Arabidopsis thaliana: one gene and its partner. The protein of the gene in region 2 interacts with the protein of the main gene of each other region in a pairwise test. Each region holds a gene or a part of one and is shown on either strand. Other genes may lie near its edges.

What was found. Proteins that work in one complex are often made in the same cells at the same time.
Region 1: the proteins of AT5G42440 (region 2) and RHA1A interact in a protein complementation assay, tested with the Arabidopsis thaliana proteins (one large-scale study listed by BioGRID).

Annotation. Positions count from the first base shown.
Region 1 is NC_003075.7:6,904,156-6,911,542, reverse strand, and holds RHA1A (RING-H2 finger A1A), read right to left. Parts: upstream 4,056-7,387; 5' UTR 3,767-4,055; coding exon 3,287-3,766; 3' UTR 3,101-3,286; downstream 1-3,100. Other genes in the region: RHA1B (RING-H2 finger A1B), read right to left, coding at 5,004-5,477; AT4G11350 (transferring glycosyl group transferase (DUF604)), read right to left, coding at 7,383-7,387. UniProt on the Arabidopsis thaliana protein: Probable E3 ubiquitin-protein ligase that may possess E3 ubiquitin ligase activity in vitro.
Region 2 is NC_003076.8:16,970,114-16,977,957, forward strand, and holds AT5G42440 (Protein kinase superfamily protein), read right to left. Parts: upstream 4,765-7,844; 5' UTR 4,401-4,764; coding exon 3,321-4,400; 3' UTR 3,089-3,320; downstream 1-3,088. Other genes in the region: AT5G42420 (Nucleotide-sugar transporter family protein), read left to right, coding at 1-112; AT5G42430 (F-box and associated interaction domains-containing protein), read right to left, coding at 1,199-2,386; AT5G42450 (Pentatricopeptide repeat (PPR) superfamily protein), read left to right, coding at 7,184-7,844.

The DNA of each region.
Region 1 (7,387 bases), on a different chromosome or scaffold from region 2:
GCCTAAATAGACGGGCCTTATCTAGTATTGTATAAAACTTGATTTTCAAAGTTAGTAACTCACGTGATGATCGTGACATATGTTAATTCTTTCAATAACATGTTGATATGTGTAAATATATATATAACGAACGAAATAAGAAAAAGAAAATAGAAAAATATTGTCTATATCTAAAACTTTTAAATTTTATTTTTCTTAACCAAAAATAAAAACTAACAATTTATTTTTACATGTTTTAGTAGTCAATTAAATTTGGCATGTATGAAGCTTTTTTGAAAAATCATTTAGCATAGATATTAAACAAAAGATGACTATTGAAGTTCAGAATAACAAAATAATGAGCTTAATAAGAATGGATTTTTGAATACTTGATGAGAATATCAATCTAATTATACTAATGTTTTGTTCAAAGAATTTTAACACATATAGTCACAATTGAAAACACCACAAATTTGAAAAAATGGCTTATATTTTGGCCATCTACTAATGTTTTTATTTATGTTGTATTTATTAATATTAAATTATTTAAAATTAGCTTGACATGAGGTAAAATTAACTTTTGAGATTACAATGTATAGAAAACCTATATTGTAAACAATGATTGTTTTCAAAAACTTTTGTGGATTTTTTTTGGTTATATGCTAACTATTATAATATTAACTAAGATATAGATTTAATGTGATATACATATTATTTTAATATAAAACATTAAGCACTTATTCATTAAGAGGAAGTGTGTAGAATTAAAATCCATTTTATTATGATGAAATAGATAGTTAAATTGTACTGCAAAATAGAATATGTAAGATTGAAATTTGTCTTTTCAAAAAAGTATTAAATTAAATATAAAAAGTGTATGTGTTACTATTTAGTATTTAAAATTCAAATAAATTAGATGAAGTATGTAGATTTAAATTTAAGTTTATTATGATGGAATAGATTGTTAAAGTGTATAGAAATATGAAATATGTATGATTAAAATTTGGTTTTAAAAAAGTTAGTAAATTAAATATTAAGAAAATACAGATTACTTTTTAGAATTCATACACCATCAATAACTTATATATTCAATCCAACTATTTAGGCGTGTCTTATCTAATTATATAAAAAATGTAGAAAAAGACCTACTTTAAATAGTAATTTTTTAGATTGCATTCATTATTCACATAACATAAATATATTCTTTTTATATACTAATTTACTTGGAAAAAAAAAATCTAAACACATTGGTTTTATTAACCTTTCATTAGGTTTATTTGTTCCAAACACAAATTGGCAGAAACATGATTTTCTTTGGTTTAAAGCATTGATCATATGGAGATGTAGACATACATATTTCAATTATACTTTAAGAAACAAAAAGAATTACATATTTTAATGTGAGAGCTTTTGACAAGTCGTGCATATCATGAACCTTCCCAGAATCATCATTAGTATTGAAAATTTATTTACACACATTGGAAGACTGAAGATTCAAAAGTGTACACTTGACTTGACTGTTCAATTTCAACGGTTGCGTCATTCACTACTTCAAATGAATGTAGACGATATTCGATGTATTCGTGGATCCACGATTTGTTGACAAACTTTTACCTAACTTTGGTTTTTCTGATTAAAAAAAACGAAACCTACTAAAACAAATAAGATTCTTGTATACTAGGAATTTAGTTTAGTATATACTCCATATCAGTTACCTATCATTATCAAATGGTACACTCTGTAGCTAGGAGTAGGACATGGCAAAATATTCGTTAAATTTGATTTGATTATTCAAAAAAATTATAGACATAATAACTCAAAGCAAATATTAAAATATGGTATATGTTTTAAACAGAGCAAACAAAACACAAATAACAAAAGTAAAAAGGTCGAATATCCTGCTTTAATCCATATTTTCCATGTACATATACTATATGAGAAATGTGTATTTTTTATTAACTTTTTTTTTTTTTGACAAATTCATATATTATGAAGTACGTTGAAGTAATTTTAATATGATAAAAAGATTTAACTGATAAATATAATCATGAAATAAATAAAAATCATTATTATTTTCGATTTTTATTTCTTTCGAAATAAAATGTTTCCGAAATTGTTATTATTTTTCGTATATCAAAAATGAAAACATTTCTTCAAAAGATGTAATATCTTTGAAATAAAATGGAGTTTTAAATAAAAAGTCTTTGATTTAGTTATTATTTTCTTTTTAAAAAACATCGTTTTTTAATACCTAGTTAGTTGTACATATTTAATCATTCTTTAGTTTATATAGTATTAAAAACCATCAGAAAAAAACATATGTTTAATGAATTTTGTAACAAGAAAATATATTAAAATAAATTATAACTCGGTACATTGATCTGATGATAATAGATATAGTTAGGAGTGTCAAAATGGGTCAAAATTCATAGGTCAACTCAACTCAACTCAACCCATGAACCTTAATGAGTTGAAAATTTTGACTCAAATGAGTTGATGGGTCAAATGAGTTGATGAGTCAATTGGTTTGATGAGTAAAATGAGTTGGGTTATAATGGTTAATGGTTTCAATGGTTTACCCAATTAACCCATTAAGTTTTGTAAAATTGAATTAAACCAACTAAAATCTCTAAACCAATGTCAATTTAAGTTTAATCAACACATCTAAACCAATTTAATAAAATTAATATTTTTCCAAATTTCTTAAATATACAAACGATGAAATTGAGAAAAAGTAAACTCGTAATTTTTTCACCAAAAAAACATAAACCCGTGATTTTTCCGCCAAAAACGTAAACCCGAGATTTTCCCGCCAAAAACGTAAACCCGAGATTTTCCTGCCAAAAACGTAAATCCATAATTTTTCCGCCAAAAACGTAAACCCGTGATTTTCTCGTCGAAAACGTAAATCCGTAAAAAGTGGAATCGGTAAATATCCTAAGTTTGATGATAATGAATTAATATTGATAATTATTTATTATTATTTTATAATAATAATTAATTAAATTACTATTTAAATAGGTTAACCCATTTAACAACTCAACTCATCAAATTAAATAAGTTATGGGTTGACCCAACCCATTTAACAAAATGAGTTGGGTCAACCCATAACTCATTTAACCCTAAACTCATTTGATTATGAGTTAAGTTGAGTTGGGTTATCCATTTTGACATCCTTAGATATAGTGTTGTTTTTGTATAAAGATATATATAGTGTTGTTCCTTCAAAAAGATGATCTATGTTAATATACATAGAGTTATACTGGAATTGATACAACAAATATTCTGCCGACATAGATTAAACCAATTAGTTGGTACTTTCCACTTCATCACTAAACCAATCTGAACCAGAACCCCAATCAGATTGCGTGTACTTTTCTTTCGGTAAGAACCGGTGCCGACAAACCGGACATTTCATCTTGTTGTAGTCAACGATCCAACGGTCTAAACAATAATGATGAAACACGTGTCCACACTTGGGTAGCTGCCTAACCTTATCGTCGGACTCAAAATCTGACAAACAAACCGTACAACAATCTTCCGGATCGGTCGGAAGATCCGAGAACCGAACCACCGGGATCAACTCGTTAGCAAGACTCGCTGACGTAGAGAGAGCGTGTCGGGTCAGATCGGGTGCAGAGGTCTCGTTGTGGTCTAGAAAACGAGGTAGACCAATGTAAGGACAAAGAGCATCGACGATGTCTCTAAAGAAACCGATGACGTAAAGTATCTTTAATATGTAACTTGGAATCTGAAGCTCGGTGATGAAATCTTCAGGAAGACCCATGATTTAGAGAAAGATAGAGAAGAGAGCTAGATTGAGATGTGGAACTATAGAGACAAGAATAAAGTGTGTATAATAAAAAATGGTGAGATTTATAATTGTGTTTGGAGTACAATTCAAACCGGCAGCTGAAGATAAGTATAACCAAATTGATGTCAAAACAAAAGAGAATACATATTCTATATACTTTTCTTTGCAAAACGGTGAATGGTTGAATTTTAATAACACAGTTTAAAGACTATTGACATCAAGGAATTTTAATAACACTGTTTAAAGGATTTTTCAAAGAAAAAAAAGTTCTTTAATACTACTTCAAAATGGTAACGACTATTCAGAGACTCCATCCAAAAATTTATAAAGTTTTACAAACGTATAAAAGTAGTTTGTTTAAGTTTTCTTATAAAGTTACACTTATTTAGGTATATTTCAGATTTTAAAGATATTTTTGATAAATGTTTTAGAGAGATGACATTTTTGAAAAGTGGTAATGGAAAATGTGCATTTCTAACAATTCTTCCTAAATATAGTATATGATTTTAGCAAAGCAAAACTCAAATAATATCAGTTAAAAAGTCGATTATCCGCTTTAATTCAAACTATGTCAATTTTGTAGTAGTTATATAAAGTACAACAGAAAGAATTTAAATATGATAAAAAAGATTCATTTGATAGATATTATGAAAGGCAAAAATTTGTTTTTTTCGTCGAAAGACATATAGATTTATAGTGGATGAAATATCTTCTAAACTATTATTTTTTTTGAATAAAATATATTGCTTTATATCAATTTTGACAAAGACTAAGGTAGTTTACGTATTAATTCATTCTGTAATTTATAAAGTACAAATAAAAATAGTATCATGGATTTTAATAGACAAATTAAGAGTTTCTTTAAGATATTTTTCGGTATAAAACTGTTTACAAATTCTATTTGGTAGAGACGAATTAGATTATGAATACTGTTTTTCTTCAAAAGAAAATGAATTCAGATTCCTAACATAGCGATATACCATAACACTTGATGTGTTTATTTGTCCACTTTTTTATTCAAATAAAAGAAAAGCAGATTACATTGGAAGATTTTATACAGACGGTTCTTTAACAAAGAAAGATGATTGATGCTAATATACACAATTACATAATCTTATACTTGAATTATACAGTAGTTTGGAAGAAAGAATTATACAGTAGAAAAATATTACCGTGAAAAAAGTAAAAAGTAAAAGTAAAACCATCATTATTAGTTGGTACTCTCCACTTCATCTCTAAACCAATCTGAAGTACCCCAATCAAACGGCGTGGACTTTTCCTCCGGTAAGAACCGGTTCCGACAAATCGGGCACGTTATCTTATTACAGTCAACGATCCAACGGTCTAAACAACGATGATGAAACACGTGTCCACACTTCGGCAGCTGTCTAATCTTATCGTCGGATACAAAATCGGATAAGCAAACCGTGCAGCAATCTTCCGGATCGGTTAAAAGATCGGAGAAACGAACCACCGGGATTAACTCGTTGGCAAGAGTTGCTGACGTGGAGAGAGCGAGTCGGGTCGGGTCGGATCGAGAGGTCTCGTTGTGGTCAAGAAAACTTGGTAGACCGATGTAAGGACAAAGAGCATCGACCATGTCTCTAAAGAAACCGATGACGTAAAGTGTTTTTAGTACGTAACCTGGAATCTGAAGCTCTTTGAAATCTGTTGGAAGACCCATGAGTGTGAGAGAAAGATAGAGAGGAGAGAAAGAAAGAGATAAAGCTTGAATTGTTGAATTATAGAGACAAGTATAATATATAGTGAGATTGATGTTGGAGTTATAATAATTGAATCCGGCGGCTCAAGATAAGTATAGTCAATTTGATCAACAATGGTGGGTCTTATTTAGTGTATAATGTAAAATAGTAAAATATTTTGCTTGGTATAGAAACAAAGAGAATATATTAATACAATTTTCTGTGATAGATAATGTGGTGACGTTAAGGGTCTTCTTTAGTATATACCAAAACAAAAAAAACAAATTTTAATATTAGGTAGAAATTTAATACCCGAATGATGGATTTATTGGGATCTTGACATCAGGGATTCAAGAGTGGATAGTGAAGATATGAACACGATCTTGAATCTATAGGTCCTACCAAACTAAAATCATCTTGAATCCATAAGAATGATTCTCTCCTTACATGAGATATTATATACTTCAAATTTCATATAGAAGAGCAAATGGGGATGTAGCTCAGATGGTAGAGCGCTCGCTTAGCATGCGAGAGGCACGGGGATCGATACCCCGCATCTCCATTTTTTTGTTGTGAATTTATCCTTGTTTTTTGTCGTTTTATTATTCCCACTAAAAGATACACATTCTTTGATATTGGGCCTTTGGTACGAAACCCATAATTTGGACGCACTCATACTTTAATTCGCACGCATTTAGACACTCTTTAGTACTTTATTATTCAGACATAACGGTGATGAAGTCATCTTGTCGTAGTTCTATATTCGGTTTGCACAAAGAGACACAATGAATTATCCAATGTCAGAGCGTTTCACTTTGTTTTCTCAGAAATATCTTTAAAGTTTTGTCATGCAGAATCTTCAAAATTTAGCAACACACTGAGTTTTCAAAATTTAGCAACACACTGAACCTTCAAAATCTAGCAACACACTGAGTTTTCAAAATTTAGCAACACACTGAACCTTCAAAATTTAGCAACACACTGAGTTTTCAAAATTTAGCAACACATTGAGTTTTCAAAATTTAGCAACAAACTGATATCAAATTTGTAATCCTTAGCTTGCAAATATAGAATTTGTTGTAGTAGAGACATTTTGAATCAAGTAAAGATGTAATCATATTATATAAGTTACTATATGATCCACGTAATGGCTAATCGCTTACCGGTAATTGAAAAAGAGAAACAAAAAAATAATGTTAAAGACTAGTCGATTTAGTATAAGTTTGTAAGCTAAGAAAGAACTGCAGTAATGGATGGCTCCACCATCTTATTTAGCCTCTATATATGGCCTTCAAGATTGTGATTCTGATTTATGAATCATCTTCTTCGGTTCAACAAACAAATTTTACTTCAAAAAGTAAAATTTTAAAATAGGTTATAAAGACTTCAACACTAGACTATTTAGATTCTACACAAGTGACCTAAACCAGAAAACCTTGTCTATACATGATCAAGACCTGCCTTAAATTTAAGATAGTTGCAATATAGAGCAAGAGTAGAATGAAATTTCAGTTGAGGAGGATTTTAGCAATTACCATTAGACTTAAATTACAATGACACTTTCTGCTTTTTTACATATTGTTGGAGCAATAACATAAGTTCTCACTAATGACATAAGTTCTCACTAATAACATAAGTTCTCACTAATAACATAAGTTTTTCAGAAGACTAAAATATAGTTTCCTATATATTTTCTTCCTCGGTACTAAACCAACTGGCTTTGGCGAAATATTTCACGGATTACAATGGAATAAATTGAGATTTGGAACTTAATAAATGAGATTACGAGGAAAAATAAATTAATCAGCAAAACTATATGGTTAAAAGCCTAACAAAAACCCCTAATTATTTTTCTCTTTCAAAATTTTCTTAGTACAAAATAGAAATTACT
Region 2 (7,844 bases):
GGCTTTAAACAGTGTGAAACATAGCTTAACAGAGGAAGAGTTTGAACTTTTGAAGGAAGGTGTAGAAACTACACAATCAAAAGATGTTGAACTTGGCCGCACAAAAGATTAGAGACAGATGGATAGAGAAAGAAACATAGTCTTCAGGTACAATTTGTTCTGTTATAATTTTTGTATGTTTTGTGTTATCTAAACCAAGAGATCGGATCCTCGGAGATTAGTGTCTAGGCTTCGATCTAAAGTTTCCTTGGTTATACAAATGTTTTGTGTTATTTATATCTTTTTACCCAATTCCATGGAAATAACTTCAATGACCACATGTTCTTGTTTTACGTAGCACTCAAAGAGTATATTCCTTTATTTATCTTATAGAATATGACATCAAATGTAGAGTATATTCCATTTGATAAAACATTCATATGGATAGTGAAAACAAGAATACTGGAGAAGACTTAAAAGAACTTCTGATAAAAACATTCATATGCTCCCAAGTAATGTGAAAATTGTAAATGAGAAGGGGAAAAATGTTATTTAATACCTGAACTTTCAAAAAGTGGCCAAATTAACCGTGAATTTTTGAAATGGCCGTTTTATACCTCAACAAAAAGTTGACTTCTAATTTAACCTATAAGTTATCGTTGACCCGGCCAAATCGACTCACCATTAACACTTCTTAACAGCTCTCCTAACAGCGTAACTAACAACTGTTTTTGTCCTTAAACCAACAATAACGGCTGTTAGGCCATGTTTTGTAACGGCTGTTAGGAGCGCTGTTAAGGAGTGTTAACGGTGAGTCTATTTGGCCGGGTCAACGACAAATTATAGGTTAAATTAGAAGTCAACGATAAATTATAGGTTAAATTAGAAGTCAACTTTTTGTTGAGGTATAAAACGACCATTTCAAGAGTTCACGGTTAATTTGGCCATTTTTTGAAAGTTCAGGTATTAAATAACATTTTTCCCAAATGAGAAGTGATACTCACAGGCCAAATAGCTAGAATGTAATAAATGTTATGAAGAAAACTTCAGTCATGGTTGTGATTTGAATAAAACAAAAATGTACTGCAATATTATGAAGAAAACTTGCAAGGGAAGCATCAGTAAATTAACCATCATCAAAAAGACCCAATGCATTGAATTTGCTAGCACTTGTTCCAGGTGAGCACCGAGCTTCACTTGATGATCATCTCTAGGTGGGTTAAAGCTTCTGTTCTGATGGGCTTATTGATGTTGCATCATATTCATATGTTTTCTTCATATGTTCTACAAAGGCGTAAACATTAAGATCCTCTACATGGTCTACAAAGGCGTGAACACTACAACAGCTTTGGTATTCTCCAAAACCTTGGATTTCAACACTTAGGAGAGTGTTCCTTTCGAGATTAAAGTAGAAGACATAAAACGGCTTACATACCTTTTTCTTCGCCAAAACAATTTCACCTGTAGCAGTTATCCCAACAATAAAAAGATCGTAGTAAACCTTAACGACTCTATCCTCATCCCTCAAAGTGTACACAGATGTTGTCCATTCCTGTTTCTCCACATCCTCTAGAACCCACATACATAACTTAAGGGGAAATCCACCGCCATGAGCATACTTCAAATTAACCACACCTAATTTACCTTTATAGTATATCAATTTAGTAGATCGTTCAGAAAAACAGTCTTGGTTTAGATTTAGACATTTGAATTTCTCGGACCTGACATCAAAGCAAACTATATACCCCAAGAAATCATCAATGTTATAAGCTATGTAATACAAAGCCCCATTGATGCATATCCATTCATGCGAAACAATATGGATCAAGGGGCATTGTTGGATCTTCCTCCATCTCACTTTTCTAGTTCCCAATGTCAAAATATGAATGTCCTTTGTTTCATTATTGTTTATCTTATTCATGAGCAATACCTTGAATTGCTTGCCAACCGGATCAAACAAAAAAAAGCTTCTCGTCTCTCCATACGTCAACAACAATTTAGGTAACATCGCATAATGTCCCGTGCTAGGGTTACATATGACATCTGCCTTTGTGATCCACATAGCAGAGAAATATACCAAACCAGAAGTATAGTTACAAATGTTTAGGTTTTGAGAGAACTTCGTATGAAAATCCGCAGTTGCTACAAAAGATGACTTCCCATATGGATTCTGAGGCTGAGGCGACGAGAAAAACCTCCACTCACCGTGTTTTGAAAAGGCAAATAAGAGACGTGGACGAGCTGACGATATGGTCAAGAACAACTCGTTGAAATATGGACGGCAAAGCATGGAACCCCATAGCTTTGAGACGCAATGAAACCTAGTGATTGACTTTGCAGGCAATCTCGAGAGTATCTCAAGAATGAGATCGATAGGGATGGAATCTGAGTTTTCTTCTCCATTCATGATCGTATTTGTATTTTCTTATCTGATGAGAGATATGAACACAAAATCGGTGAGACTCTTAAATAATGTATCGTACGATAAAGTTTGACCTAATTAATCAATCTTATTCATGGTTTTCGCTAACCTAGGCCCAAGAAGCATCGTATGATTGTATGAGTATATATATGTTAATTGTAGTATCTTTCCTTATTTATCATTATTCATTTATATATTTTACCAAAAAAAATAAAATCATTTATATTTTTTTCCTGAAAACATTCATTTTATACTTTTCTGAAAACAAGTCTTGATAATTAATCTGAATTCTTCTTAAACAGTCTAATCAAGGTGTTTAATTTTATTTTTGGAGTCCAAATTAAATAAAATGCTTGCAGAAAGAAAGAAAGAAGCATCTCTTATCTCATAGCAGAGAACAATGGTTAAAGTATGATTGTATATTTGTATGGCACGATAAAATAAAGCTCACGAATCTCTCATGTTTAGAATAACTTCTTTTATTCACTTTACTGCAACAGTACGTGTGTGTGCTCCTTCATCTGTCATGGTAAACACTAAACAGTTCCAAATGCCTTTTTACCTTTTCTAAATCCTCAATTCTAATGATTTTAAATGAAACCTAAAATTGATAGAATCACTTCAAGTTTTGTTTTCTTTGCAATCATTCAAAAATCAATAGAATTTTAAAGATTGACAGAAGATCCTAAAAGTTAATTATCTCAGCCGATGTTTAGCACATAGACGTAAAGTCAAAAAACAAAACACTCTAGTTCCTAATACATAAATCTCTAAAACTAAAACGTAAATAAGCAGAACATAGAAACTTATTTTGTAACTTCTTTTGGTCCGAATATTTTACCCAATTATTACAATATGTAACGAACTTCACTTGTGTGATAAAAAAGACTAATTACATTTACCTATTGGATTAATATGACTACATAAATCGACATAACTCCTCCAATAACTCCACCACTTGAACCATAGTAGGCCTTTCTCTAGTCGACTCTTTAATACAAAGACAAGCAATCCTAAAATACTCTTCCACTCCCTTCTCACTACCACAAACACCTCCAAAATCCAACATTTCATAACACCGATTTTGCTCCACCATGATCACAGCCCATTGAGCCAACCCAACTTCCTTCTCATCCACAACAACCGTTAAATTCGGCCGTCTCCGCGTCGCCAATTCCAACATCAATACACCAAAACTATAAACATCAGCTTTAACCGTCGCCGCGGTATTCCCTTCCCAATACTCCGGTGGCATGTACCCCATCGTCCCCGCCACTTGCGTCGACACATGCGACCTCGACGCATCGATCCTTCGCGCCAATCCGAAATCCGCAATATGCGCCACGAAATCCGAATCCAACAGCACATTACTCGATTTGATATCTCTATGTATAATTGGTTTCGGTAAACCATGCAGATAAGCTAAACCCTTGGCCACATCGCGCGTGATATTCACGCGCGTTGACCAAGTCAATGGACTGTTCTCTTCGTCAGTCTCGTGTAACCAATAGTCAAGACTACTTTTCTCTAAGAACTCGTAGATAAGAATCCGATCTGATCCCGAGATGCAATAACCGAGGATCCTAACTATGTTTGGGTGATTGAGACGACCTAGAGTGTCCATTTCGGCTGCGAATTCTCGGAATCCTTGTAAAGCGTCGTGATCGAGCTTTTTAACGGCGACTACGACGCCGTTTGAGAGCTGAGCTCGATAAACGAGACCGAAACTTCCGTCGCCGACGATAAGATCCGATGAGAAGTTTTTAGTTGCTATAGTGAGTTCCGCCATGGATATTTCACAGATTGATGGATCGAAGCTTTCGGTTACTGTTTCCGTGTTTAGATCGGGATCGGGGTCGGGGAAGTTACGATTCCGGCGAGGATGGTTTTGGATTGGAGGACGACGGCGACATACGATCATAACGACGGTGAAGACGATAAGCAAGAGGAAGATGGAGCTTATGCTGGTGGCTAGGATTAGTGAGATTTGGTAATCCATGGATAGTGTTTGGGATCAGTATGAGATTGAGAGAGAGAGATTGAGAAAGAGAGAGTAAGAGATGATCCGCCATTGATAGTGACGGAGGAGGAAGTGTAAGGTTTTGATTGAGTCGTAGTCGTAGATAAGACAAGTCAACGATTGTTGCTGGAGAAAGTCTACGCAGGTTGTACACGTGTCTTGACGATATTGGTGGTTACGAAGTATGTGTAAAATGCTTGAAAATTTCTGCTATGAAGTGGGAATTTCTTTACTTGATATCAAAATTAGTTAGCTTATAGTTTTGGAACAATTAAACTACAAGGTTTAGTTGCTTAAACTAATTTATACCCCTAAGACAATTTTCAATGATAAAGTGACTCTATTTTTTTTCTTTAATTATAAATTTGAACAATTCAAAGTTTAGAGTTTGTGTTGAATTCTTATATTTTTTATTATTTAATGGTAGAGTCATGCATGGATTTCTTTAAGAGAAATAAATCATACTTTTAAAATGATAAATTATAAATATTTTGGATTCTAGTAAAAGCATTAAAATAATTAGACCAAACTCATCTAATAAAAGCATCAAACACAAACTCATTTCATTACTTGTTACCTAGACCAAACACACCTAAGGAAAGCATCAAACACGAACTCTTTAAGACAACATCATTACTAAGATAATTAGACAGAACAAACTCATATCTACATAATTTGCTTTCATTATTAGAGAATTCAAGGGTTCAGAACAAAATCATATGAGCTCAAAACCATAAGAAACCGTAAAACTAAGCGAAACAGAACAGAACATACGTCATAGGACAGACAAAATGGTCTTAAAACACTCGATTGAATTGGTTTAAGAAAAAGTAGAAGAATACACTGTCACAGATTTTCGTTTTGTTTGTTTTCGTTTAAAGATCTTGAGTTGTTTTGTTTATGCTTATAATTTGTGGGGTTCAAGTGTTTCTTGTCATGATTATGATTAATATTTGATCCAAATACTATTTTTAACATCCGTAAACATTTTGTTATGTACTAAATTTATTTTTAAAAATAACATGCTGGGGATGATACTATATTTTTTTTTTTTCCCCAACTTTTTTTGTCACTGTTTATTATAAAAGGGATGATACTATCTAATGTCCACCAAAGAAATCAAATCAATTTTTTTTTATGACGAAAAAGAAAAAAACAGATCAAGAGTCAGAAATCTCGTGTGGAAAATCGACGCTCATCGCGTCTTCAAGACACTAGCGATCGATGTATTTGATTTCATCAATCTCTTCAAACCTAAGAAAAAAAAGTGCAGACTGAAATTAAGAACTGAACAAAAACGAGATTTGGAGTATGGTATAGAAGACGGAAGCTGAGAGATGAAGATGACATTATATAGGGCACAATTATTTACCCTAATTTCCATTGATTTGGGCTTTTGTGAAGCCCAATAAGGAAAATGGGTTCACATTTTAAAAATGTTCAAAAACGTGTTTAAGGTTTTGTATAAAAGGAACGTAAATAGGTTTTTTATTCCTCACTTCTCGTCAGAGTCTTACGCCGCAGGGCTCATCGGAGTTTCAGGTTCTTCTTCTTCTCTCTTCCTCCACCTCCATTTTCAAAGATTTTACGATTCAGACTTAGTTAGAATCTTAGTCGAATCAATAGAGAACTGATTCAGAGTTATTTTGATTAGAGCTTGATTTCAAATTTACTGTTTATTGAAACGAATTAGGAGGAGAAGAAGAATGTCTCACAGGAAGTTTGAGCATCCAAGACATGGTTCTCTTGGTTTCTTACCAAGGAAGAGAGCTAATCGTCACAGAGGAAAGGGTATGTCTTTTTTTCAAACTTAGGACTGAGAAGGAAATAACTCCAATGGGAGGATTCGCACATTACGGTATAGTGAAGGATGACTACTTGATGATTAAGGGTTGCTGCATGGGTCCAAAGAAGAGAGTTGTGACTCTTCGTCAGTCACTGCTAAGGCAGACTTCTCGTCTTGCGATGGAGGTGATTAATCTCAAGTTCGTCGATACCTCATCGAAGGGGGGACATGGTCACTTCCAGACCAGCGAGGAAAAGGCCAAGTATTTTGGTCGTGCTGCAAGAAAGGCTTAAACCAAGTCTCTATTCTTTTATTAGCTCGTCTTTAAAAATTCTTTGAAAGATAACTATTTTTTGAACCATCTGTTGCAATTTTGTATTTTAGTTATTTGGTGAATTTTTAACATTTTGCTTCCGTTACTATTGTTCCTCAAATTTCTTCTAACTAAATTATTATGAATCAGATCTTATATAATTTTTTATAAGATGCAAGTTTTATTGAGTCTATGACTAACTGGTTAGAGTAAAATAGAGTGCTCATGAACTTTTTTAGAAAACCAGAACTAAAACGTAATTGATTTGAATAAACCAAACCATTTTTGAGTAAACTCTAAACCAATCCGAACCAATTTTGATTGGAATTTATTAAAACTAAATTAACCGAACCGAATCAAATTGAATCACAAAACAAAGAGAGCAAAACCCAAACTATTTTGAATAAAACCAGAGCTAAACCGAAACTGATTCGAACAAACCAAATAAATTTGAATAAAATCTAAACCAAACCGAACCAATATTGATTGGAATTTATTAGAAGTAAATTAACCGAACCGAATCAAATTGAATAAAAAAACAAAGAGATTGGTATGAGAAAACCCAAACTAAACCAAGAGTGAATTTGGAATCAAAGGTTAGAGAATTCATCTTCGTTTGCTTGTTTTTGTTCTCTCTCCCAGTTCCTGGGTTCACGACGAGGAATGTTGCATATGATTTTATCTCAAAGAGTAATCCTTTTACGAAAATATCACTCTTCTGCAAATGCCCTTGTTACCAAATCACCAAATTCTATCCCCGAGTTGGTTAAACATATTGATTCGGATCTGATACGTAATGCACATAAGGTGTTCGACGAAATTCCTGAGTTAGATGTCATTTCTGCTACAGCGGTGATTGGTCGCTTTGTGAAGGAAAGCAGACATGTGGAAGCAAGTCAAGCCTTCAAAAGGTTGTTGTGTTTAGGCATAAGGCCAAATGAGTTCACGTTTGGCACGGTCATTGGGTCTTCTACAACTTCGAGAGATGTCAAATTGGGTAAGCAGCTTCATTGTTATGCGTTAAAGATGGGACTTGCGTCGAATGTGTTTGTTGGTAGTGCGGTTTTGAACTGTTATGTGAAACTGAGTACGTTGACAGATGCTCGTAGATGTTTTGATGACACTAGAGACCCAAACGTAGTTTCTATTACCAATTTGATTAGTGGGTACCTTAAGAAACATGAATTTGAAGAAGCTCTTTCGTTGTTTAGAGCAATGCCTGAGAGAAGTGTTGTTACTTGGAATGCAGTTATTGGAGGGTTTAGCCAGACGGGGCGGAACGAAGAGGCTGTGAATACTTTTGTGGATATGTTAAGGGAAGGTG